3 linked regions of the Caenorhabditis elegans genome follow. The protein of the gene in region 2 purifies or fractionates together with the protein of the main gene of each other region. This does not show direct contact. Each region holds a gene or a part of one and is shown on either strand. Other genes may lie near its edges.

The links. Proteins that work in one complex are often made in the same cells at the same time.
Region 1: the proteins of cox-6A (region 2) and nduf-5 fractionate together in Caenorhabditis elegans (co-fractionation; one large-scale study listed by BioGRID). This does not show direct contact.
Region 3: the proteins of cox-6A (region 2) and T13F2.2 fractionate together in Caenorhabditis elegans (co-fractionation; one large-scale study listed by BioGRID). This does not show direct contact.

The regions. Positions count from the first base shown.
Region 1 is NC_003279.8:2,997,988-3,006,143, forward strand, and holds nduf-5 (NADH dehydrogenase [ubiquinone] iron-sulfur protein 5), read right to left. Parts: upstream 4,861-8,156; 5' UTR 4,851-4,860; coding exon 4,617-4,850; intron 3,609-4,616; coding exon 3,477-3,608; 3' UTR 3,373-3,476; downstream 1-3,372. Other genes in the region: dnj-28 (J domain-containing protein), read left to right, coding at 1,178-1,521, 2,828-3,279; Y54E10BL.3 (CcoQ/FixQ family Cbb3-type cytochrome c oxidase assembly chaperone), read left to right, coding at 6,198-6,225, 6,276-6,359, 7,547-7,614; Dual specificity mitogen-activated protein kinase kinase mek-2, read right to left, coding at 8,042-8,156.
Region 2 is NC_003281.10:5,077,854-5,085,966, reverse strand, and holds cox-6A (Cytochrome c oxidase subunit 6A, mitochondrial), read right to left. Parts: upstream 4,242-8,113; 5' UTR 4,233-4,241; coding exon 4,097-4,232; intron 4,030-4,096; coding exon 3,878-4,029; intron 3,209-3,877; coding exon 3,110-3,208; 3' UTR 2,980-3,109; downstream 1-2,979. Other genes in the region: cah-1 (Putative carbonic anhydrase-like protein 1), read left to right, coding at 678-929, 1,651-1,763, 2,117-2,297, 2,349-2,570, 2,618-2,761; alh-1 (Aldehyde dehydrogenase domain-containing protein), read right to left, coding at 5,462-5,550, 5,612-6,358, 6,405-6,682, 7,024-7,220, 7,268-7,396, 8,109-8,113. UniProt on the Caenorhabditis elegans protein: Component of the cytochrome c oxidase, the last enzyme in the mitochondrial electron transport chain which drives oxidative phosphorylation.
Region 3 is NC_003282.8:9,793,316-9,800,914, forward strand, and holds T13F2.2 (Putative RNA polymerase II transcriptional coactivator), read right to left. Parts: upstream 4,040-7,599; 5' UTR 4,038-4,039; coding exon 3,957-4,037; intron 3,912-3,956; coding exon 3,810-3,911; intron 3,767-3,809; coding exon 3,677-3,766; intron 3,631-3,676; coding exon 3,529-3,630; 3' UTR 3,373-3,528; downstream 1-3,372. Other genes in the region: pis-1 (PAX-interacting protein 1), read right to left, coding at 1-206, 259-473, 603-724, 775-1,017, 1,073-1,401, 1,637-1,786, 1,845-2,204, 2,272-2,584 and 4 more; Delta(5) fatty acid desaturase fat-4, read left to right, coding at 6,156-6,284, 6,700-6,810, 6,947-7,297, 7,375-7,599. UniProt on the Caenorhabditis elegans protein: General coactivator that functions cooperatively with TAFs and mediates functional interactions between upstream activators and the general transcriptional machinery. Binds single-stranded DNA.

The DNA of each region.
Region 1 (8,156 bases), on a different chromosome or scaffold from region 2:
TTTAATTAACGTTTTCGGTACTTAAAATCCTTCCGGAAATTACGAAATTGCTAAAAATGCAAGAATTCTTGTTAAAAACGTGTATTATTCAATTTTATAGTAAACTAATTTATTAGCAGTGAAATATTTGAAGAAAAACTTCGAATTCCTCAATTTTTTCATTTTTCAGTCTAAAATTCAAGTTTTCGATTTTTCAAAGCTCCAGGATTCACTTTGAGCTTCTTTTTTTCAACGATTAGTCTCAAAATTAGTTGAAAATATCCAAAAATCTACATTTCTCGATTTTTCCGTTCAAAAACTGGTCAAATATGCAGAAAATTTCCGGATTTTTGGTGACAAATAAATAGAAAAATGCAAATTTGGTGATAAAATCCTTTTGGAAAAGACAAAAAAGCGAAGAATTTCTGTTAAAATCGTATAAATTTGATTTTTGGCTGAGAATTGGCGAAATTTAAGCACATTTTGAAAACTGCTCAAAATCTCTAAAAATCTACATTTATTGATTTTTCAATTCAAAAACTAGTCAAATATGCGGAAATTTTACGGATTTTTTCCGAATTAGACTAATAGGTGAAAAAACCTTTCAATTCTACATTTATTACGGGAGCACGAAATTCTAAGAATGCGTATTGCACAACATATTTGACGCGCAAAATATCTCGCAGCGAAAACTACAGTAATTCTTTAAATTTCTACAGTAGCGCTTGTGTCGATTTACGGGCTCGATTTTCGAAATAAATTAGAATCATTTATCGATTGATAGAGTTTTCGAAAATCGATCCCGTAAATCGACACAAGGGCTGCGGTAGTCTTTTAAAGAATTACGGTAGTTTTCGCTACGAGATATTTTGCGCGTCAAATATGTTGTGTAATACGCATTTGCAGAATTTTGTGTTCTCGTAATATAAAAGCAAAATAAGTAGAAAAATTCGATTTTTGTAAAAGAATCCTTTTGGAAATGACAAAAAATACTTGAATTTTGGCTGAAAATTGGAAAAAAATACAAAACACATCAATGTTTTAAGCATATTTTTATAAAAATTTCGCCGAAAAATACTACATTTCTTGATTTATCCGTTCAAATAGTCGAAATTTTGCGTTTTTTGCAATTTTAACACTTTTCGAAGGAGAAAAACGCGCAAATTTACGTAAATTGAGCTAAATTCAAATTTTTCAGTTCAATCCGCGAATGTCTGAAGCTTAATCCGGATCACAAAAAATGCTACACCTCCTACAAATCACTGAAGAAAATCGTAAAATCCCTAGATTCTATGAAGGCATCAATCGAACAACAGGAATGGACAAAATGCCTGGAAACTGGTGAAAAACTTCTGGAAAAGAACGAAGAAATTCCGATTCGGATGAACATTTTCCGATTGATGTGTCAATGTAATCGAGAAGACGGAAATCTAGGAGAAGCCATTCAACAGTGTACTCGAGTACTGGAATTTGATGATTCTGATGTGGAAACGTTGATTCAGAGAGCTGAAGCTTATATGGCAGACGAGGAGTATGATATGGGTCCGTTTTAGAAGTTACTCTGCAAGCGCGCTCCACGGCCAATTTAAAAGGCTCCGCCCCAGAACGTTGGGTCTCGTTAGGAATTTGGTGGGAAATTCATGAATTCTAACAATTTTAGGGTGTTTTTAATGAGTTTTATGTCTAAAAATTGGATAAATTTCGTCATAAAAATTATTAAAACAACGGAAACCATTTTTAAAAAGGGCGCGAAATACCTAACGAGACCCAGTCGTGGGGGGCGGAGCGATTGAACATCGATTTTGCAAGCCGCCGCACGCTTTTATTTATTTTTTCCTCGTTTTTAACAGGAAATTTCGAACAGAATTCAAATAAAAATGGATTTTTACTGGAAATGCTTTTTTAAAATTTTTTTTTTCCAAAAAAAATCCGATTTTAATTAGTTCGAATTTTTCTGCTGAACATGAGAAAAAAATCTGCGCCGCGCAGAAAAATGGGCGGGGCGTAATTTTGCAACCTTCTGTGCGGGGCAGGTTTTCGCAAGCCGCCGCACGTTTTTTCCTCATTTTCAACAGAAATTTTCAACGAAATTCAATGAAAATCGGATTTTTCATTCGGAAAATCAATAAAAGGAGGAAAAACCGTGCCGCGGGGTTGCAAAAATAAGCCCCGCCCCTTTTTCTGTGCGGCGCAGGTTTTCGCAAGCCTCCGCGCGTTATTTCCTCGTTTTAACAGAAAATTTTGACGAAATTCAGAATTTTTCATTGAAAAAAATCAATAAAAAGGAGGAAAAACCGTGCCGCAGGATTGCAAAAATAAGCCCCGCCTCTTTTTCTGTGCGGCGCAGGTTTTCGCAAGCCTCCGCGCGTTATTTCCTCGTTTTAACAGAAAATTTTGACGAAATTCAGAATTTTCCATTGAAAAAAATCAATAAAAAGGAGGAAAAACCGGTGCGACACGGTTGCAAAAATAAGCTCCGCCTCTTTTTCTGTGCGGCGCAGGTTTTCGCAAGCCTCCGCACGCTATTTCTTCGTTTTAACAGAAAATTTTGACGAAATTCAGAATTTCTCATTGAAAAAAATCAATAAAAAGGAGGAAAAACCGGTGCGACACGGTTGCAAAAATAAGCTCCGCCTATTTTTCTGTGCGGCGCAGGTTTTCGCAAGCCTCCGCACGCTATTTCTTCGTTTTAACAGAAAATTTTGACGAAATTCAGAATTTCTCATTGAAAAAAATCAATAAAAAGGAGGAAAAACCGTGCCGCAGGATTGCAAAAATAAGCCCCGCCTCTTTTTCTGTGCGGCGCTGCTTTTCACGGATTTATCGATCATCAAAATCTAATTTCCAGCAATCGCTGACTACGAAAAAGCCGAAGAATGGGATTCATCAAACGACGCCGTCCGAACTGGAAAAGATCAAGCAAAGCGTGCAAAGGAACTCGTCGGAAAACGAGATTACTACAAAATTCTCGGAGTCCGCCGGAACGCCAATAAACGAGAAATCACAAAAGCCTATCGAAAAATGGCTCAAAAATGGCATCCGGACAACTTTCAGGATGAGAAGGAGAAGAAGAAAGCTGAGAAGAAGTTTATCGATATTGCCGCGGCGAAGGAAGTTTTGAGCAATGAGGAGAAGCGGCGAGCTTTCGATAATGGACAAGATCCACTGGATTCGGAAGCAGGGAGGGGTGGAGGTGGAGGTGGAGGATCACACGGATTTCATAATTTCCACGGATTTAATCCATTCGGCGGTGGTGGTGGTGGCGGCCGTGGTGGCGGCGACTTTTTCTTCCATTTTTAATTTCATATTTCATTATAGATATAGATATTATTGTGTCATTGGATGTGTTACCCGGACTATTATTGATCTCTTAACTTGCTTCTTTTTTTTTTTATTATAAATCTTTTTATGTACTTAGAAAAGATTAAAAAGAAAAAAGAAATGAAAACTACAAAAAATAAGGCGATTTCTCTCGAAACTAAAGGCACTTCAAGTATCTAGTTGATACGATTCCACTGGAAGTGATCAGTCTTGAATTGTCCCGGTTCTGGATGATTGTCGACGTATGGCTTCGCGATTTTTCCGTCGAGGAACAGCTTGCAGCGTTGTTCACGGATGGCGTCAGCTCTCTGGAAAATTGTTTTTCGATTATTTTGGAATTTCATGTGATGTTTTTTAAAGGCGCACGGGTTTATTCAGATGGGTCTCGATGCGCAGAAAAAAGATTATGGTAGTTTTTTCTCTTTCAGGGCAAAAAAACTGGAGAACACACATTTAAATTTTTAGGAAAATCGAAAACCAAAAATATTCGATTTTATCAACAAAAAAAATCCAAAAGTTAAAAAACCAAATTTTTCAGAGTTTTCGATTTTTCTTTTCTTTAGAAATAGGAGAAAAATCGGAAAAATTGCATGAAAGAAGACGAGAAAATAAACTCAAAAATCAGAAAAATGAAGGAACATTTTTTTAAATTAGAATTTTAGAAATTTCCGGAAAATGAACGAATTTCGTAATGAAACTGCTCAAAAATTTTTAAAAAATTTTTATGGCGGTTCAAAATTTTGAAAAATAACACTGATTTTAGCTAAAATCACGAATTTTTCCCATTTTTCCGTGTCACATCTGTCCGTAGTTGGCTTTTTTGGAATTATCGTCCTTTATTACATATATTGGTAGTTTATCTCATTTAATTTCGTCGATTAAAGTACATTTAAAGCCGATAGGTAACCAAAAATCATCGAAATTGGTTACCTATCGGCTTTAAATGTTATTTGATCCACGAAATTAAATGAGATTAATTACCAATATATGTAATAAAGGACGATAATTCCAAAAAAAGCCAACTTCGAACAGATGTGACACGGAAAAATGGGCAAAATTCGAGATTTTAGCCAAAATCAGTGTAATTTTTTCAAAAGTTTGAACCGCCATAAAAAATTTTTGGAAATTTTTTGAAAAGTTTCATTACGAAATTCGTTCATTTGAGAACATTTTGGGTCTATACGTTCAAAATCGTCCGAACCGTTAGTCCTCCGTTAAAAGAATAAATTCAAGGGATCAAATTTATTTGGTTTTCACTAATTTTTTGTTTTTTAGTCCAATTTTTTTTCGCGACAGTTCTGTTCCGGATATCGAACCTTCTTCTGTTTATCCCCAGTGACACACTCCTGGAAGTCACGATGCTCGAGATCACAATACTTGCGTCCCATCTTTGCTCCGTAAGCCTCCATACAACGGTAGAATTGAGATTCAAAGAATCCGCAGATACGTCCCTGTTGGGAGAGTGGAACCGAAAGAGTATCGGTTATTGGAGCCTTTACGATTGGTGACAATGATGTGAAGTTCTCCGGATTACGGTTACCAGTTGCCATTGCGGATGTTCTGGAATTTTGGAATTTTATTATGAGTTGAGAAGCAAAATATCGATTTTTCGGTTTTTTTTTCAGAGATAATCAGAAAATGTTTTAGAAAAAAAAACTAAAATTTTAAAATCTGTGTTAATTTTTTTATGTCGATGAGGAAATGCATAAATAGGAAAAAAAACATTTTTCTCAAAAAAAAAGAAGAAAAATAGCTAAAATTTATAGACATGTTTCGAAAAAAAAAAATAATTTGTCTAAGTATCGGAAAATCGAAAAAAGAAACACACTAATATTACGGAAACGCAAAATTCTGAGTGACCCGCAAAATATCTCGTAGCGAAAACTACAGTAATTCTTTAAATGAATACGGTAGCGTCGATTTACGGGATATCGATTTTTTTTAAAGAAAATTAATTTTAATATTCAATCGTTAAATTAATTAATTTCAAAAATCGAGATCCCGTAAATCGACACAACCGCTACAGTAGTTATTTAAAGAATTACTGTAGTTTTCGCTACGAGATATTTTGCGCGTCAAATGTGTTGTGCAATACGCATTTTTAGAATTGTGTTCCCGTAATAATTTCAGAATTACCCAAAAAATCCTAAAATTAAATACTGTTTGGATAAAAAGGCACGCTACAAGATCAAAAAAGCCATGAAATGTAATTTTTGTTGAATAAATTTCGAAAAAATGCCTCGAGAGAAGAAAAATCATGAATAATCTCAAACTATCACGCAAAAAAAAGGAAAAATGGTGAAAAATCCCAGATTTTGGAAAAATTTCAAAAAAAAATTCCCAAAAAACTAGATAAAACCAATAAAATATTCTTCTAGAAAATTGCTTTTTTTTCAAAAATTCAACAAAAATTTTTTTTTTGCAAAACCTATTCGCAATTTAAGCTATTTTTCCTATTTTCGGTGGATCCCAGCAAAATTTCAGCAAAATTCCATCCATCTACTAATTTTTCCGCAAAAAATCGCCAAATTTTCCAAATCTTTGTATTCAAAAATTGTTGAAAGTGGATTCCAAGTTCAAAAAAATTTCGTCAATTTATTTTTTTTATTCATACTAACTTTTCTTCAGGAAAATCGGCTAATTTTCCGAATCTTTGCTACTAAAAAATTGTTGAAAATCCACAAAAGTCTTTTCCTCTTTCTCCCAGTTTATTCATTTTATTATCCGAGCTTCTCCCCCCCCCCCCTCTCTCGTCTTTTTCACATCTTTTTCGTAACGGAGGTCTCCTTTTCCGTTTTCTTCAACGCTTTTCGCAGCACACAAAAATCGATATCAAGCGCAGTAGTGTGTGCTCTTTCTCTCTCGGAGCAAGAAGGCAACTTGGGGCTCTGTCAAACATGGACGCCGTCTATAATCTCGTTGAATGTGAGTTAAATATATTAAATTAATTTCAACCGATTTTCATGAATTTTCAGCTGTTCACGTTTTTATTCCTGTCGTCGCGCTTCTCGTCTTTCTCACAGTTATTTATATTAATTCGAAAACTCCTGATGAGCCGGGTGAGTCAGCTTTTTGAATTTTGTGAGAAAAATATCGATTGACCCAGGCGTGTGCGGAAATTGCCGGAATTTTTCATTTTCGGCAAATTGCCTATTTGCCGGATATCGATATGACGGAAATTTGTAGAGCGATTTTTTTAAAACGGAAACACTCCAAATTGTGCCTTTTTAAAATTTTTTCCCATTTTTCGTTAGATATTTTCATAGAATTTTTAATTTTTTAAAATAGATGTAAGAACATTCATTGGATGCCTTTTTTAAAAATTTCTTTGCCTATTTAAATTGAAATTCTTCAAAAGTTCCAAAAAAATGTGCAAGGCCACAATTTGCCGGAAATTGTCGATTCCGGCAATTTGCCGATTTGCCGGAAAAATAATTTTTGGCCATCTTTTGCCAATTCCTTCTGTATTTAACATTAAAAATACTCGATATATATCTTTTTTTTTTAGATTTTCAGGTAAAAATCGATGATGTTTTTTTTTCTATGAGAATTTTTAGTTAGTTAAAAAATTTTCGATTTCCGGAAATTGATTTTTCGAGAAATATGTCAAAGTTTTGGTCATTTTTTTTTAAAATAAAATTATGTTAGATTTTTCTCATGAATATAAACAACATAATTTTCCAATTATTTTCGGGAAAATATAAAAACTAATTTTTTTTTCGATATTTCCAAAAAAACAAATCTATTTTTCGAGAAATCTCTCAAAATGTTGGTAATTTTTCGTTTTTTTTTGTTTTTTGAAAAAAATTGCAGGGTTTCCTATGCTTTTTCTCATCAATATTAGCTTTGCTCCGAGAAAATCCGAAATTTTATTTTTTATTTTTGAAAAAAAATTCGTTTTTTTTTCGAGGCATTTTCAAAATTTCGATAATTTTTTGCCTTTTTTAATGAAAAAATTTTTTTTTTCCTCAAAAAACAATTTTTTTTTTCGATCATCTCTGAAAAAAAACCGAGTTTCTCAACGAAACCCTTAGTTATAATAAAAAATAAAAGAAAAATGCAAATTCGGGAGCTTCAACCGACTATAAAAACCAACGAAAAAAAACTTAAAAATTCAAAAATCAAATCAAAATACTTTAATCTTAATCAGAAGCGGGACAGAAATGTGGAGGGAAAAATGGGGAAAAATCTACAAAGTAAATGAAAAATAGTCTAAACTAAAGAAAAAAAAGAGGAATACTTTCAGATACGGCGCTGAAGAAAGCGACTCAAAAAATGACACCGAAGGAGCCGAATGCAAAGAAATCGGATTGATCTCTCGAGATGGCAATTGAGAAATTGAAGAAATGCTCAAAAAACTGTGGAAAATAGAAAAAAAATCAAATATATCTTAAAATTTTGGCCATTTTTCTTTTTGTTTCTCATCAACATACACAAAATTTAATTTACAAAATTAAATTTTATGATCAATTTTTCGATTTTCCTTTTAAAAAATCGGCTATGTTTTTCGCCAAATCTGCCTAAAAATCACTTTTTTTAACAAATTTTTGGGCATTTTTCAATTTTTCCAACTCTAAAATAGTAGCTATTTTCTGATATAAGAATTATTTTTCTAAATATTTTCCATCACAAAATATCAATAAAAATATTGGCTCATTTCGTAGAATCACCCCCTGGAGCTGGAGCATCCTAGACAGTGAGAGACAAAGAGACATCGAAATATACAAAAATCCAAAATTAATTATGGATTCAACTTTGGTAGATTAATCGTTCCCTTCACAAAAACCGCGAATTCTCCCTGATCATCGTGATCTGCATATTGTGTGAAGAAGACGTCTGCGGTGAGAGATTTTAGG
Region 2 (8,113 bases):
AAAACTAATTATTGAGCTAATGATCCCTAGATTTTCCAAACCTTGTTCAAATGTTACAGTCCCTGAATCATTTTTCATCTTCAAATTTTCAATATTTTTGCTCCCTCTCTCATTTTATTTATTTATTCTTCGTCTTATTTGTATCAATGGGGATGAACCCATTATTATGAGGTTCCATCTTCTTCTTTTCATGCTTCTTTCTTCCCCACACACACATCTCAATTTCCCATTTTTCGTAGACTCTCATCCTCATTACAAATTCCGCTCATTTCGTTTTGTGTCGCCCATCTCTTTCCCTTTTTCTCAGATTCTTTCCCCCAATATCTGCGTCTCTTTATTTTCAGAATAATAGGTCGAGGGGGTGTTCGAATTTCCAATCAAAAATTCAGTATCTCAATTTAAGACAGACTCCTTTATTTTTGCTATTGGTTATTCGAAGAAAAAGGACCGAGTTTAATAACATAGCAACCATCTCCAAGTAGTCGAATTCGAAGAAGACGAAGCAAAAGAAAGCAATCATTATTTCTCAGGTGATCATGTCTTTTTCAATTTTCAGAGGCTAAAAAGTTTCGGTCTTCAAGATGGTGAAATATTTAAACTGAAAATTTATAAAATAATTAACGATCTAGATCTCACAAATGAGTAAAATCAACTCAATTCAATAATTCAGATCTCCTATGCGCTTTGAATGTAGCCATTTTCCCTTATTTCTCATCATTCTCACTTGTCACATTTCTCCATTGAAATCTAGTCAAAACTATCAATGGTCATATGATTCTGATGTTTTTGGAGGTCCCCATTTTTGGGGTCTTGTGGAGAAAGATTGGTGGATGTGTAAGAAGGGAAGATTGCAATCACCAATCGATATTCAACCAGATCGACTTTTATTCGATGCTAGTGTTAAGCCAGTCAGGTTGGATAAATTACCGGTGAGCATGAATAATTATTGAGATTTTTTAACTTGAAGACAACATTTTGATTGCAAAATCGATTTGTTAATTTATAAAAAGCGGCGGACTTCCAAAGACGTTCACTAAAATATTAAAAGGAGACCGAAGAACTCGGGGGATTGGCCCCGCCCACAGAACCGTGGCTTGCAATACGCCCATTTCTGCAACTGCCGCACGGTTTTAAAACTGTATTTTTCTCAATAGAGCGAGAATTAACAAGAAAAAATAATTTTAAAACCGTGCGGCAGTTGCAGAAATGGGCGTATTGCAAGCCACGGTTCTGTGGGCGGGGCCAATCCCCCCGAGTTGGTAATCCCCCCAATTGGACATCCCCCGAGTTCTTCGGGTCTCATTAAAAGACTTTAAAGATTACTGTAATTTCAAACTTTCAGTTATGCGGAATTGAATTTTTTCCTAATAATTTATCTCACGATTTCTTTAAAACTTATGCGTTACATTTTTACATGTGAGTTTTTAACAAAAATACACATATTTTTTATCGAAACAACTATGAAAAATCGTTTAAAATTCCACATCAACAAAAGTTTGAAAACACACAGTAATCTTTAAAGGCGCACACCTATTCGCATGTAATAAAAAATTAGGGACCTGGAACCGTATTTTTGGAGCTAACATCGCAAAATTTCGCGCCTGGGTAGTATACATCATAATATTTCACGCGCAAGTTCCACAACTTCAGGTTGTCTCAGAATTTGTGAACACCGGTCAAATGGTTCGTGTTCGAATAGGATATTCCTCTAAAAAACCATCCGTCAATATTACAAGTGGTCCATTATACGGTTATAGGTATCGGTGAGTGAAATGATTTTTAGATCGAGGTGCAAACGCGCTCCACGGTCAAATGTAAAGGCTCCACCCTCTAAAGTTGGGTCCCGTTAGGTATTGGCGGCAAAACCATAATTTCAAACATTTTCAAGCATTTTTAAATATGTTTATGTTGTTTTAAGGCTCTTTTAGTTGAAGTGGTGTGCAAAAAAAATTATTGACGTTATTAAGAGTTTGAATTCACAAGTTTTCGCCAATTCCTAACGAGACCCAACTATTTGGGGGCGGAGCGTTTTCATTTGGCTATAGAGCGCGCTTTCACCTCGATTTCAAAAACGAAGTTTTAAGAACCCGCGTGATATACCATTCAAGCTTTACAGGGTTCAACGAATCGATTTTCATATGGGTCGTAAAAATGAGAACGGAAGTGAGCATACAATAAATGGACGACGATTTCCGATGGAAGTACAATTAGTTGCATATAATACAGATTTGTATCCAAATTTTACGAGCGCCTCCAAGTCTCCACATGGAATTGCAATTTTATCAGTTTTGGTAGATGTGAGTTGCTTCGTTAGAAATTGTGTTAAATCTCAAATTTATATATTTTAGTTTGGACCTGAAACTAATCAAGAACTCATCAAACTAACAATTGCAACAGCTAGCATCAGTTACAAGGATCAACGTGTCCAACTTGCTGATTTCGAACCTTGGCGACTTCTTCCATTCACTAGAGATATTATCACTTATGAAGGATCTCTCACTTCTCCTGGATGCCATGAGACTGTCACTTGGATTATTCTGAATCAACCTATTTTTATCAAAAAGGAGCATGTAAGTTTTTTAATAGTCTATAAAAAACTTTGATTCTAAATTTACAGTTCGAGGAGTGGTCACACTTATATCTGAGCATGGAAGGCGCCGAGAAAGTCCCCGTTGCCCCAAATTTCAGGAAAATTCAAGAAACTAACAATCGACTAGTAAGAACAAATATTCAGCACAAGGTTTGGATATTTCTTTCATAAAAATATCTGAAGAAAATTATTTGAATTCCAGATGAGCTACAATTGCAATGTCTCAGTGAATAAAATCCACTATCGTGCAAATCATTTGCCACTGCCAAAACAACAGCATTCTTCTCGTCGCCACAATAATCCATTTGTCTGAAAAGAAAACTCCCGACTTTGCTCAAAGATTTCTCACGAATATTTTTCAAATTGTTCTTGTTTTGCAATAATTTTTTCGACTTTTTATACAATTCTGAAACTACACTTGCGCAAAACATGTCTCGTTTTGTTAAACTAAACAACTCGAAGCACACACACAAATGGATGACGTTAAATATGATGATTAATTGTATCGTCCAGCATTGTTTAGTGCTTCTCACGGTCAGCCTCGAATCCAACTCCTGGAACAAATTGCTCCGCCTTGTTGTGGAACAATGAGTGATTTCCATCGGACCATGGGAATGGCTGAAATTGAATATTTATTAGGAATGCATTTTCAGAATGGATTGATTGATTTTCAAGAAAAAAATGTTGGCGATTCTAAATTGCAAAAAAGTAGGAAAGTTTTTGCTAAAATCTTTAATTTTGTCAACTTTTCTGTGTTGCAAACGTCGGAAATGAGTATTTATTTTATTATCATCCTTTTTTCATGTTTTGGTTGTTAATTTTACGTTATTCCGTCGATTTAGGTCAATTTTAGTCTGATAGACCAAAACAATAATTCAATAAAACTGTATTCCAGCAGCTGCAACTAGAACATGTTGGCTAAATTGGAGATTTAGCTAAAATTTTTCTTACTCTTTTTTTGAAATTTTTAACCATCTTGGGAATTTATTGAGACCAATCGTTTTTTTTAATTACTGAGAAAACGCCAAATTATAAAATTGTATAATCATTTAAAAGCTTGATTGTAGAAATTAAAATTCCAAAAAAGCGACTGTTTTTTTTTTAATTCGTTTTGAATATTATTAAACTTCACAGTCATCCTTTTTAGTTTGAAAAATGCCAGAAAGATGACATTTTTAAACAGTTTGCCGATAACTTCTTTAATGAGGAAGACATGAAAGCTAAATAACATTTTTTAAGTAAAATTTTAAACTATGGCAGATTTCAAGATAAAAACGAATATTTTACCTTGTTGCGAACGTTCAAGAAGGCGTACTCGACGTGCTCTGGGCGTTCGTGGCTCATGTGTTTTTTGTGATCCTTGAAGGCGGCATACATGGTAAGAGCCAAGCATGGAATCGAAGCAATGAAGAAGATTTTCTTCCAGGTCTCGCTAGCATCTGAAAAATATATTTTAATCTTTGAACATCAAAATAGAAACTATTTATTTTAAAAAAAAACACTTACTGTGAGCTTGCTTGAGTGGAGTGACATATGACTCTTTGAATCCTTCGACATTGTTGGATCCGTAAAATGATCCTGAGGATTTGCGTTGGAAGGTCTTGACGACCGAGCGGGTAGCTGGTTGAGCGAGACGGTTCATGTCGGATACCTTTAAAATTTGAAATGAAGTTGAGATTTGTGAGAAAAACGGAACGCGGGGGGAGAAGGAGGGGGAACAAACTTGTTTACGTGAAAATTGAGAAAAAAAGAGAAAAATCAGGTGATTTGATGAAAAAGTACAAAATTGTGATTTTTAAATCAGAAAAAGCAATAAAACAAACTCACAAAATAAAAACAAATGAGGTTTTTCTTACGTCTTAAGAAACCTAATAATTGCTATGAAGAATTTTAGAAATTTAAACCCGACAATAATGATTGAATGACATGGTTGAACACTTGCAGATTTGAATTCGAAAAAGTGGAATTTCTAGTCGAACAATATCGATTTACGGCTGCGGTTTATATGCTATTGTGGTTAAAAAATTCATAATTTGTAATTTAATCATTTGAAACTCAAAAATAATCAATAAAAGCACTGTTTGTGAAGTAAAACCACAGAAACGCACGTTTCCTCAAGAGAAAATAACGGAGAGGCCGTCTTCGCTGCGAGACCAGCCGGTGAAATGGCGTGCGCCTTTAAGGTGTGTGAAATAATTGTGCTGCAACATGCTGTCTAATTTGCCTATTATCTCCGTTAGAAATGCTTCAAATTTTCTGAAACTTTGTTACCTGTTAAAACATGACATGTAGAACGAACACATAAAAAATTATTAATATCGATTCATTGGCTAAAAAGTTATTGACGGAAATAAGTATCAAGTTTTGGTTCGATTCTTGCCCTTTTTGAGTTGCTTGACGGAGAATTGCGGAACCCACGAGATGTCTGCCGCCTTGCAGGTGGCCACTATATAAGCAACAACTGGTCCTGGCTGTCTCGTTCTTCCGAGAACATATACTAAAATTGGAACAATACAGAGAAGATTAGCATGGCCCCTGCGCAAGGATGACACGCAAATTCGTGAAGCGTTCCAAATTTTTTTTAAAATTTCGCGTAACCTACCGGAAGCTCGTAAAATTTTTGCCTTTTGAAGATTTTACGACTGATCCTCTAATGTACAGAGTAATAATTCGTTTGTCCTGAATCAATCAATTCACAAAGAAGTCGAGACTTTTATGAGTCGTCCTGTAGGTGTCTATTTCTTTCAGAATTCTTTTTCAATATATGTGAAAAATAGATAAATACAACACGTATATTAAGAGCAATAAACATTTTTCAAAAAAAAAAGCAAAAGGAACAAAAATTACAGGGAAAGCGAAAATTCAAGAAATTTATGAGTTCTTCTGTGGAACCTTGATGGTGACAGTCTTTACTTCAGTGTATGCCTCAAGACCATATTCTCCGAGTTCGCGACCGATTCCTAAAAGAAAAAGTATTTTTTAACTTTGGCATGGAGAAATTTTAATAATAAATTAGCTTACCGGACTGCTTGAATCCTCCGAATGGAGCAGCAGCATCGAACACATCGTAACAATTAACCCAGACAGATCCAGCTCTGGTTGCGTTGGCAATATGAAGTGCCTTATCAATATCCTTAGTCATAACTCCAGCAGCCAATCCATAAATAGTGTTATTAGCCTTTTCAACTAATTCTTCCATTGTGTCGAATCTAATGATAGTCATAACAGGTCCAAAGATTTCTTCTTGAGCAATAGTCATCTGATCCTTAACATTAGCGAAGATAGTTGGCTTCACAAAGTGTCCTTGATCTCCGTGTTTGGCTCCTCCAGTCACCAATTGAGCTCCATCCTTCTTTCCAGCAGCGATATATTTTAAAATAGTCTCAACCTGCTTTCCGTCAACTTGTGGTCCTTGAGTAGTTTTCAAATCAAATGGATCTCCGATAACAGCCTTCTCGGCCAATTCCTTGGAACGAGCTACGAAATCATCATAGATCTTTCCTTCGACAAATGTTCTGGATCCGGCACAACAGCACTGTCCTTGATTGAAGAAGAGTCCGTGGTTGGCTTGATGAACGGAATCATTGAGATCAGCGTCAGCGAAAATGATGTTTGGTGATTTTCCTCCGAGTTCCAAAGTGACCTTCTTGACATTCGATTCTGCAGCAGCCTTCATAACAAGTCTTCCAACTTCAGTTGATCCAGTAAAAGCGACTTTGTCAACATCCATGTGCGACGAAATAGCTTGTCCGGCAGTATGTCCGTATCCTGGAATTTATTTATTTGAGAAACTCACAATTTTTACAAAACTGACCTGGAATGATATTAACCACTCCATCTGGGAATCCAGCTTCTTTTGTGAGAGCAGCCACGTGAAGGGCTGAAAGTGGAGTCTGTTCGGCGACCTTCATAACGACTGTGTTTCCCATAGCCAACGCTGGTCCAAGTTTCCAAGCTTGCATAAGAAGTGGGAAGTTCCATGGAATAATCTGTCCGCAGACTCCCACCGGTTCGTGACGAGTGTAAGTGAAGTAGTCACCCTCGATTGGAATAGTCTTTCCGTGATTCTTGTCAGCCCATCCGGCGTAATAACTGTAATAAAGTTATTTTTTAATGTTAGCCATTTTTCCTTTTTTTACAATAAATTTTAATTTTTCTCATCAATACAAACAAAATTTGATTCAAAAAATTGCATTTTTTGGCTGTTAATTTTCTAAACAGTTTTTTTTGATTTACGGTTGTCCGGACAATCAAAAATTTTTGTTTTTCGATTTTTTTCTCTCATAAAATTGAGAATTCGAAATTATTTTTGTAGATCTCTTTGCTCATTTGGCAGTAAAGTTTTTCGTTTTTTCTGAGTTTTCTTCTTAATTACAGACTATTTTGGGATTTTTTTACAGCAAAATTCTCCAATTTATGCTATTCGAACTCACCGAAGAGTCTTGATAGAAAGTGGCAGATCAGCATTGTAAGCAACTGCATATGGCTTTCCATTATCCAAAGATTCCAAAGATGCCAAAATAACTCGATCTCTCTCCATTAAATCAGCTAGTCTATTCAGAAGAACTCCACGTTGAGAAGCATCCATTCGTCTCCACTCACTGCCGATACGGAATGCATTTTGAGCAGCCTAGAAAAGTTTGAAGATTGCTTTAAAATTCGAATTTAGATTTAAACCTTGACAGCGATATTGACATCTGTTTTATCTCCTTCTGCGACTTGAGCCAAAACTTTTCCGTTGGCTGGATTGATAGTCTCAAAAGTCTTTCCAGACTTGGCTGGCACAAATTCATTGTTGATGAAGATCTGGAAATTTAGATATAAACTTTTTTGAAATTTGAATCCCTGATTTGGAGAAGTATCACATTTCGTCCTAATTCTGCCCTCTAAGTTTATTTTCTCAAATCCGATCATCGTTCAGTTTTGATTGCCCTATCTCACTGTTGACCGAGTTCATTGTTCATTTCGTTCTCCACCTCAGGCGACCACGTTTTCCCTATGAGATAGTATCAGCTCTCTTCTTTTTCTTTTTATTATCATCATTTTAAATTGATCGTACTCTGTGTACTAGGTACACAACAGAGCACAACGTTGAGGGCACGTGGTTCCGTTGAAATAATGTAATGAAAACATGAGAAGAGAACATTTTTGCAGCAGAAAAACAGATCAAAAGGTTCAAATTCATCTTTTTGGTTTCTGTTGCAGTTTCTGATAACGGCGGTTTCAAAGCGCACGTAATGTGATGTTCTTGTAACTTTGAATTTCGCGGAAAATACGGATTTTTGAGAAAAACCAATAAGATTCGATGCACAATTTCCACTTTTGTTTTCTTTTTCTTTAAACACAAATTACTTGAAAATCAACGTTTTTAGAAATTGGCGATCCAATGGGCTCCGTAATTTTTTCTTTCAAAATTCAAATTAGAGTCTCTCTCAACATTGTCTCCATTTTCAAGGTTATCCTGTGTGATTCCTATCTTTTTTGCAATTTTTTTAAAACAACGTTCTGAGAAACTTACGCCGG
Region 3 (7,599 bases), on a different chromosome or scaffold from region 2:
CATTTTCTCTTGATGCTCTTCCCAGTGAGTTTTGATTTCATCTAGGCGAGCTCGGGAGCTTTTAATTTCGTCTTCGGTTGGTGCAACTGCTTGATCTGATAGTCGCTTTGATGGGAAGAAGAATGTGTTGTTTTGAAGCGTTTTACGATTTTGTCGGGCTTTCTCGTAAGCTTGGTCCGCAATTATAGTCTGTGATTTCCAGCAAGCTGAACAATAATAAATATGAACTATTTATCTAGTTTCTAACAATGGACTTACACATCATAGCACCAAACTCCTGACTTGCGCCTTCAATGTGATTTGGAGAAGTATTAACGTTTGTCATCACTGGATTTTCTAATTGGTATCTCGGATTCTCCACATTTGGCCTTTTCTGTGGTGACGCCTCGTCGCACACATAAGCATCAGCAATCCATTGAAAATTTACAACAGGAACTTTCCATTCTTGAGCTCTTGTAACTTTGTCAGCTGGCCTAAACTTTACGAATTAAAAATGATCTTACTAGGGAGTGTTTTAACTATACGGTGCGATCGGGTAAAAGTAAACATGTTATGCGATAACTGGCATCTAATTGTAAAACTTACAGTAATTGTAAACTTACTGTTTGGCAATTAATAAATCATTTTGCCTGGCTAAGAATGGTGTAATCTTTGCGCCCATCATTTCAGCCATAAAAGAAATTGCGGCACGTTCGGAACTGTCAAAGCCGGACAATGAAAAAAGCTGAAAACATTGGTTATGAGATATTTTAAACCTTAAAGCAAGAATTGTACCTTTCCGAGATATGGTCTGAAATTTTCATTGAACGGTGGTGGTAAATGAGCAATTCTCCAAGGTAATTCAACTCTTTCTCGTTCCATTACATCAATAATCCATTGGATGGAGACAATTCGCTTTCGATGTTCCAATGATGTCATAACATTTGTATTACGACAGGAATCAACTAAGACATGCGTGATTTGATGGATTCTTTCATGGAATTTTGAAGCCTCAAATTCAATGTCCCCTCCGTGATACTGAAAATTTACAATTTATAGAATGATGATTAAATAATAATAATTTGTAGCTTACTTTAATCATAAATTCCAAATTCTTACGATCGAGTTTGTCCTCAAACAACTTTTCCGAATCGAAGCAATGAAAGTGAATACCAGTTAAATAAAGTTCTGGATCAACATTCATTTGTATCGGGAATGGGTTCACATCGTGATGCATTTGATTCATTTGGTTCATTGTATTCATTTGATTCGGCTGTTGTGGACGATACACAAACTGTGTGGCTCCAGCTGATTGAGGCGGAAGTGATGATGCAGAAAGAATCGGTTGAGGTGTTCCTTGGGTTTGTGGAAGTGGTTGGGATGGAAGAGCAATCGGACGCATTCCATGAGATGTCATTTCGTCTGGAAAAAAGGTTTATGTTGTTCACAGAAAATTGTTCACAGAAAATTGAAGAGGTGTGCGGTATGTGGTTTCTGCATTTGAAGAAAATCAACGTTTTCTATCGATTAGGAAGTACCTATGTTTAAAATGGTATACGATGGGTAAACCGAGTTTTAGGCTAGCTATCAGTATTTTATCCAAATGCCGTACACTTCTGATGCTGAATGTATATTCAATGAACATCATAAAACAAACTATGCAAGCTTCTCGGTAAAACGGGAGTATGCTGTTGAGATTGCTGATTTGGGGACATCAATGACGGTGATCTCAAATCAGCACCAGGTGCTCCTGGAGCAAAATGCGGCGACGATGTAGTACCAGATGGGCCCGGCGGAGCAAAACGATCTGAAGTATTTAGTTTACAAACTTGCAATATTGTTATTCTTTTTGTTTTCAATCATACGTGGAGTTCCAGGGGTCGGTTGCTGTTGTCCTGCCTGAGGCGAAATGTACTGTCGCATTCCTGGTGGAGCAGTTGGCTGACCCTGTCGAAACATTTGATGAGCTGGAGACGAGAATGTAGGGGTTCCAGGCATGCCGGGATACCCGGGAGGCTGCCCAGTAGGTGTCATCTGTTGTGTAGGTGGATAGGTGAACTGCGCTTGTTGTGGCTGTGGATTTGTTCCTTGAGGGTACTGTGGACGTTGTGGAGTCCCTGGAGGTCCTGTTCCAGGTCCGGCAGAGCCCGGGGTCGTTCGAGGAGCAGCGGGCGCTTGTGCAGGATATCCAGGCGTCATTGGTCCAGGCATTCCAGGTGGATAGGCTAAAAACTACTATTTCATTTCTTTTTATTGTTTTAAATTAGTAGACAAAATACACAATTCACTCACCTCCTGGCGGATACGGTACTGGAACTCTCTGTGCTGCCGCTCTTTGTTGGGCTTGAGCTTGCGCCTGAGCTTGGGCTTGAGCCTGAGCTTGTGCTGCAGCTTGCCTTGCATACATTTGCTGCTGCCACTGAGCCGCCTGCTGTTGCGGATATCCCGGAGGATATTGCGATGGATGTCCGGGATGTTGATGCATTTGCATCATCTGATGTTGCCGATACGGTGAATCGTGCATTTGCTGCGGATTCTGGGCATATTGTTGTTGCTGAAGATGTTGTTGCTGTTGTTGTTGAGCCGCTGCTGCCGCTGCCATTGCCTGGAAAAAATTAATTTTAAAATTAAAACTTAATTAAAATCTACCTGAGCATGTTGTTGCTGTTGCATCTGTGCTTGCTGATAATCGTACGGAACGGAAGTCGGTGGACCACCGGCGCTCTGAGGGGTCCCACAATTTGAGCCAGGCATACCAGCACTTTGCGGTGTCATCGGAGTTCCTTGCGAATGTGCGGGACTTTCTAGGAGATAAAAATTCATTTAAAATATTCATAAACACAAAAACCGACCTCCATGAAAGAATTGTTGTTGTTGATGTTGTGGGGGATTGCCCATTTGATGGTTCGGTGTTCCAGTGGAACTCCGCTGACTTCCAGGTGTGCCTGATCCTGAATCTGACAGGAAATTAGACATTTTTACTTTTAAAATGTGTGTTCTCACCTCCTTGGAATATATTGGCTGGGCTCATCGTGGGTGTTCGCTGCCATGTTTGTGGCGGTGGCTGAAAAAATAAATTTGTAATTTTGATAGAAACAGAAAAATTAAAATGAATCAAAACCTGTTGTCTTGGTTGTTCGGGCATTACAAATCCCGACGGATTTTGTTGTTGTGGCACTTGATGAAGTTGATCGTTGGCAAGAGGATTTTGGATTCGTGATGGATCCAAAAGACCCAAGGGAGGAGAATCGGGACGATGTTGAATGTCTTCCTCCTTACTCAACGGGTCCGCCATCTCCTAAAATTGTATTAGATGATATATGATATCAGAAAGGGAAATGATAGATATTTAAAAGCATTGTCAACTTTCTCTTGAAAAATCAAATAATTGGCGATGAGACGAAACATTTTCATTCGGGTCAGCATGGTTTTCAAAATAACTAAACAACATTTAACAACAAAACAAAATGAAACCGGTGGGAAATTACTCTGGTAATGGAAATGTAAGTATCATTCGGAGGAGCAAAATGTAATAATTGAAGTTGGAAATTAGAATTTCTTGTCAATCTCTGGAATGAGATCTTTCAAATTTGCCCATTGTGCTTTGCTCAACGAGATTCCTTTGCGACTTGGCATCATTTTCTGAGAATCCTGAAAAGAACAAAGCATTGATTTGCCTTTTACCACTTCAAATTACTCTGTCAATGTAATATTCTCTGATGTTGACATATTCCTTTCCCTTGAACTTGCTGACGGTCGCGTATCTAAGATTTCCGATCTCAAACATCTGAAACAATTTATTTAACATTTATAAATAATAAAATAATTACCTCATTTCCATCGCTGTCTTTCAATCGTCCAGACACTTCCTCCTCATTCTTAGCTTTCTTTACTTCTTGTTTCTCTTCTTCAACGGCTTCTGACTGCCTTTTCTGAAAATTGACAATATTTCAAACTCAAATTCAAAACAAGACCACCTTTGACTTGGTTTCCTTCTTCTTCTGTTCTTTAGTCACTTTCTTTTCAAGTTCATCTTCAGATGAAGAGGAGGACGACATGTCTGTAAATATATCGATTTTTTGAGCGGCGACGTGTCATTAGACTGTGTGCGGGTAGTTTAATATTTGATGAAACAAAGTTATAGGCTGAATATAATAGAAAAATGAAGTTATACTACCTTATAATAAAATAAAAAGTGTTTTCAATTAAAAATAAATTTAAAATTGTTCGAACAAACGCCTTGGCCTAGAACTTTCACAAAGGAGACTTCTAGGCCATATTTGATGAGTGTTCGGCCAGCAGCCTTTTTTTTTAATTTTTCAGCCGGATTTTTTGTTTCCCAATTTGTTTTTTTTCTTATTTGGAAATTGTGTACATAATTGTAGAATTATCATATATATTGTGTCTTCTGTGGTTAACTCGTCAAATTCATGCATTTCAAAAACAATATGAACGCGCCAAATGATTGTTTCCTCGCGACACCATCAAATTAATTGCTCTCATAGTTTGACCGCCTTATCATTATAATCGTCTTATCAACATGCATTTTAGATGGTAATTATGCGGAAAATAAAAACCATTTCTTGCGTAAATCACGGAAACTGGCTCGCCCGAAATGATACCTCAAAATACAAATTATCAAAGTTTCTGTTCAAAAATTGTTTAATTCTCTAAATTCTTCCGTCCTAAGACCATGATTATAGGTTCATAATAATTTCCAGATCCATTAATTTCGACCTAATGTTTTCTACAGTTTGGAAACATGTTCTTTGTTCTGTTTTTCAAAAATCATCCCATTGTGATGTGGTTCTGTAAAAAACTTTCCACATTTTCATCGATTTCTCCCATCTCTTCTCTCGATTCGGAACTTTTTTTTGCAAAATCTATCGCCCGATCACACCGAAAAGGTGACCTTCGTGTGGTTTTCACCCAGTTTTTCATAGAGTTTTCATACATCAATCCTAGTACCTTTTTACCACTTCAATTTTATTTATCAGTTTAATTTTTTTGTTCACAACTTTTGATTATGCGTCTAAAAATGATAACGCTGTAAACTTATAATGCACATCACTTCAATGAACAAACGTTTGGAAACGAGATGTAACAAATGTTCAACGTTTTTCTTGATTTCAACATGTTTCTTCAATTTTTTGGAAGTATTTTGAGCCCGGATGCGAGCCAAAGTGCACGTCTTATTTGTCAAATCGAATTTAGCTAAAATCTAATTTTCCAATTTTCATCCTTCATTTTTAACACGAAGAGCGCACTTTTCTTCTTTTTCATCTCTCAAAAACTCATTTCTTCGTCTCATCAGCCTCTGACCACTGTGCTCTTTGGTAGGAGCAAAAAGAATATTAATGGCGCGATTTTCCATGAATGATAATGTCTCTGAAAGGAAAATGTCGTTTTCATATTTTTGTGATATGCACTACTACCATATGACATAGATCTACACATGACTATTCGTTTTTATTGCAAGATTTTAAGGATAAATTCGGTGTTTTTTCATCTAAAGTTCAAAAATCTCCTTTTTCTGCGGTTCATCATTCAAAATTCATCTGCAATCATTTAAAGTATTTCTTTTTCCTTTTCAAGTACTACCCCGGCGCGCAATTTTGCAATTTTTACGTCGAAAATACGGTCTTGACACGCCAATTATTTTTTAAATAAAAACGGGTGTTTGACAAACCGTGATAAAATTATGCAAAATCGATAAAAATTCTGGAGTAACAAAATTTTAAAATTACAGTACTCTTTAAAAGCGCACACCTTTGCTCATTTACCAAAAATTTGTCGTGTCGATGCCGGGTACCGTATTTTTGTCGCAAAAATCGAGAATTTTCGCGTCTGTGTAATATGAGTTAGTCTCTCAAATTTTTAGAACGTTTTCTGGAAGTTTCTTCGGAAAAATGTTCATATTTAATATCAGAGAACAGGTGCTCAAAAAACTTGAGATCATACTACGATTAGCTGACATGTGACCCCATAAACTCATTTCTAGCAAGATCTTTGTTTACTGTCAATTCAAAAACCTGTTTTGAAATATCAACTCTCCCTCTCTTTACATTATTCGTTTCCTTTGCTCCTTCTTTTGAAATAATTTACTAAAAATACGTTTTTTTCTGTTTTTTTAGGAATTTTCAATCCTCCTTGGGTCCCACCGCTGTGATATCAAAATGGTATTACGAGAGCAAGAGCATGAGCCATTCTTCATTAAAATTGATGGAAAATGGTGTCAAATTGACGATGCTGTCCTGAGATCACATCCAGGTGGTAGTGCAATTACTACCTATAAAAATATGGATGTAAGCTTTCTATTTAATTAAAAAAATAAAAAGCGGTCGGTTATATCGTTATATCTTATTCTTATTAGTTATTCTTATATATTATTCTTATATTTCTTATTATATATATTATTATATATATTATATATATATCTTATTAGATTGTTATATCGTTATTTACGTGTAACTCAAATAAGTGTGTACGTGCCCGTAAATTTGTTCCTTGTGAACAAAAATGTGCAAATTCAGTGAACAATGTACAGAGAACACCCCTTATCACGTGCATCACATGTGAAGTTTAATAAAAAAAAACGCCAAAAAGAGATAATCCGAGAAAATGATTAGTCTCTCAAAAAGGAGGAAGACATAAATAAAAATTAATAATATCATGCCAACATTCAATTTATCGGAATATTTCATTAAAATAATTTTGCAGGCCACTACCGTATTCCACACATTCCATACTGGTTCTAAAGAAGCGTATCAATGGCTGACAGAATTGAAAAAAGAGTGCCCTACACAAGAACCAGAGATCCCAGATATTAAGGTAACAATAATTTCAAAAAATTTACTGTTTATCCTAAAACGGGATTTTTGAAATCTGATTTCGAGTAATTCAATTCAAAATTCTAGCGCAGTATACCGTTAAATAATAATCCAAAACATATGAAAAATATCTACAGGATGACCCAATCAAAGGAATTGATGATGTGAACATGGGAACTTTCAATATTTCTGAGAAACGATCTGCCCAAATAAATAAAAGTTTCACTGATCTACGTATGCGAGTTCGTGCAGAAGGACTTATGGATGGATCTCCTTTGTTCTACATTAGAAAAATTCTTGAAACAATCTTCACAATTCTTTTTGCATTCTACCTTCAATACCACACATATTATCTTCCATCAGCTATTCTAATGGGAGTTGCGTGGCAACAATTGGGATGGTTAATCCATGAATTCGCACATCATCAGTTGTTCAAAAACAGATACTACAATGATTTGGCCAGCTATTTCGTTGGAAACTTTTTACAAGTAAGTCACATTTTCAATAATGTACTATTCACTTTTCACAATAATTAACCGAATAAATAACACACTTAATTCTTCAGGGATTCTCATCTGGTGGTTGGAAAGAGCAGCACAATGTGCATCACGCAGCCACAAATGTTGTTGGACGAGACGGAGATCTTGATTTAGTCCCATTCTATGCTACAGTGGCAGAACATCTCAACAATTATTCTCAGGATTCATGGGTTATGACTCTATTCAGATGGCAACATGTTCATTGGACATTCATGTTACCATTCCTCCGTCTCTCGTGGCTTCTTCAGTCA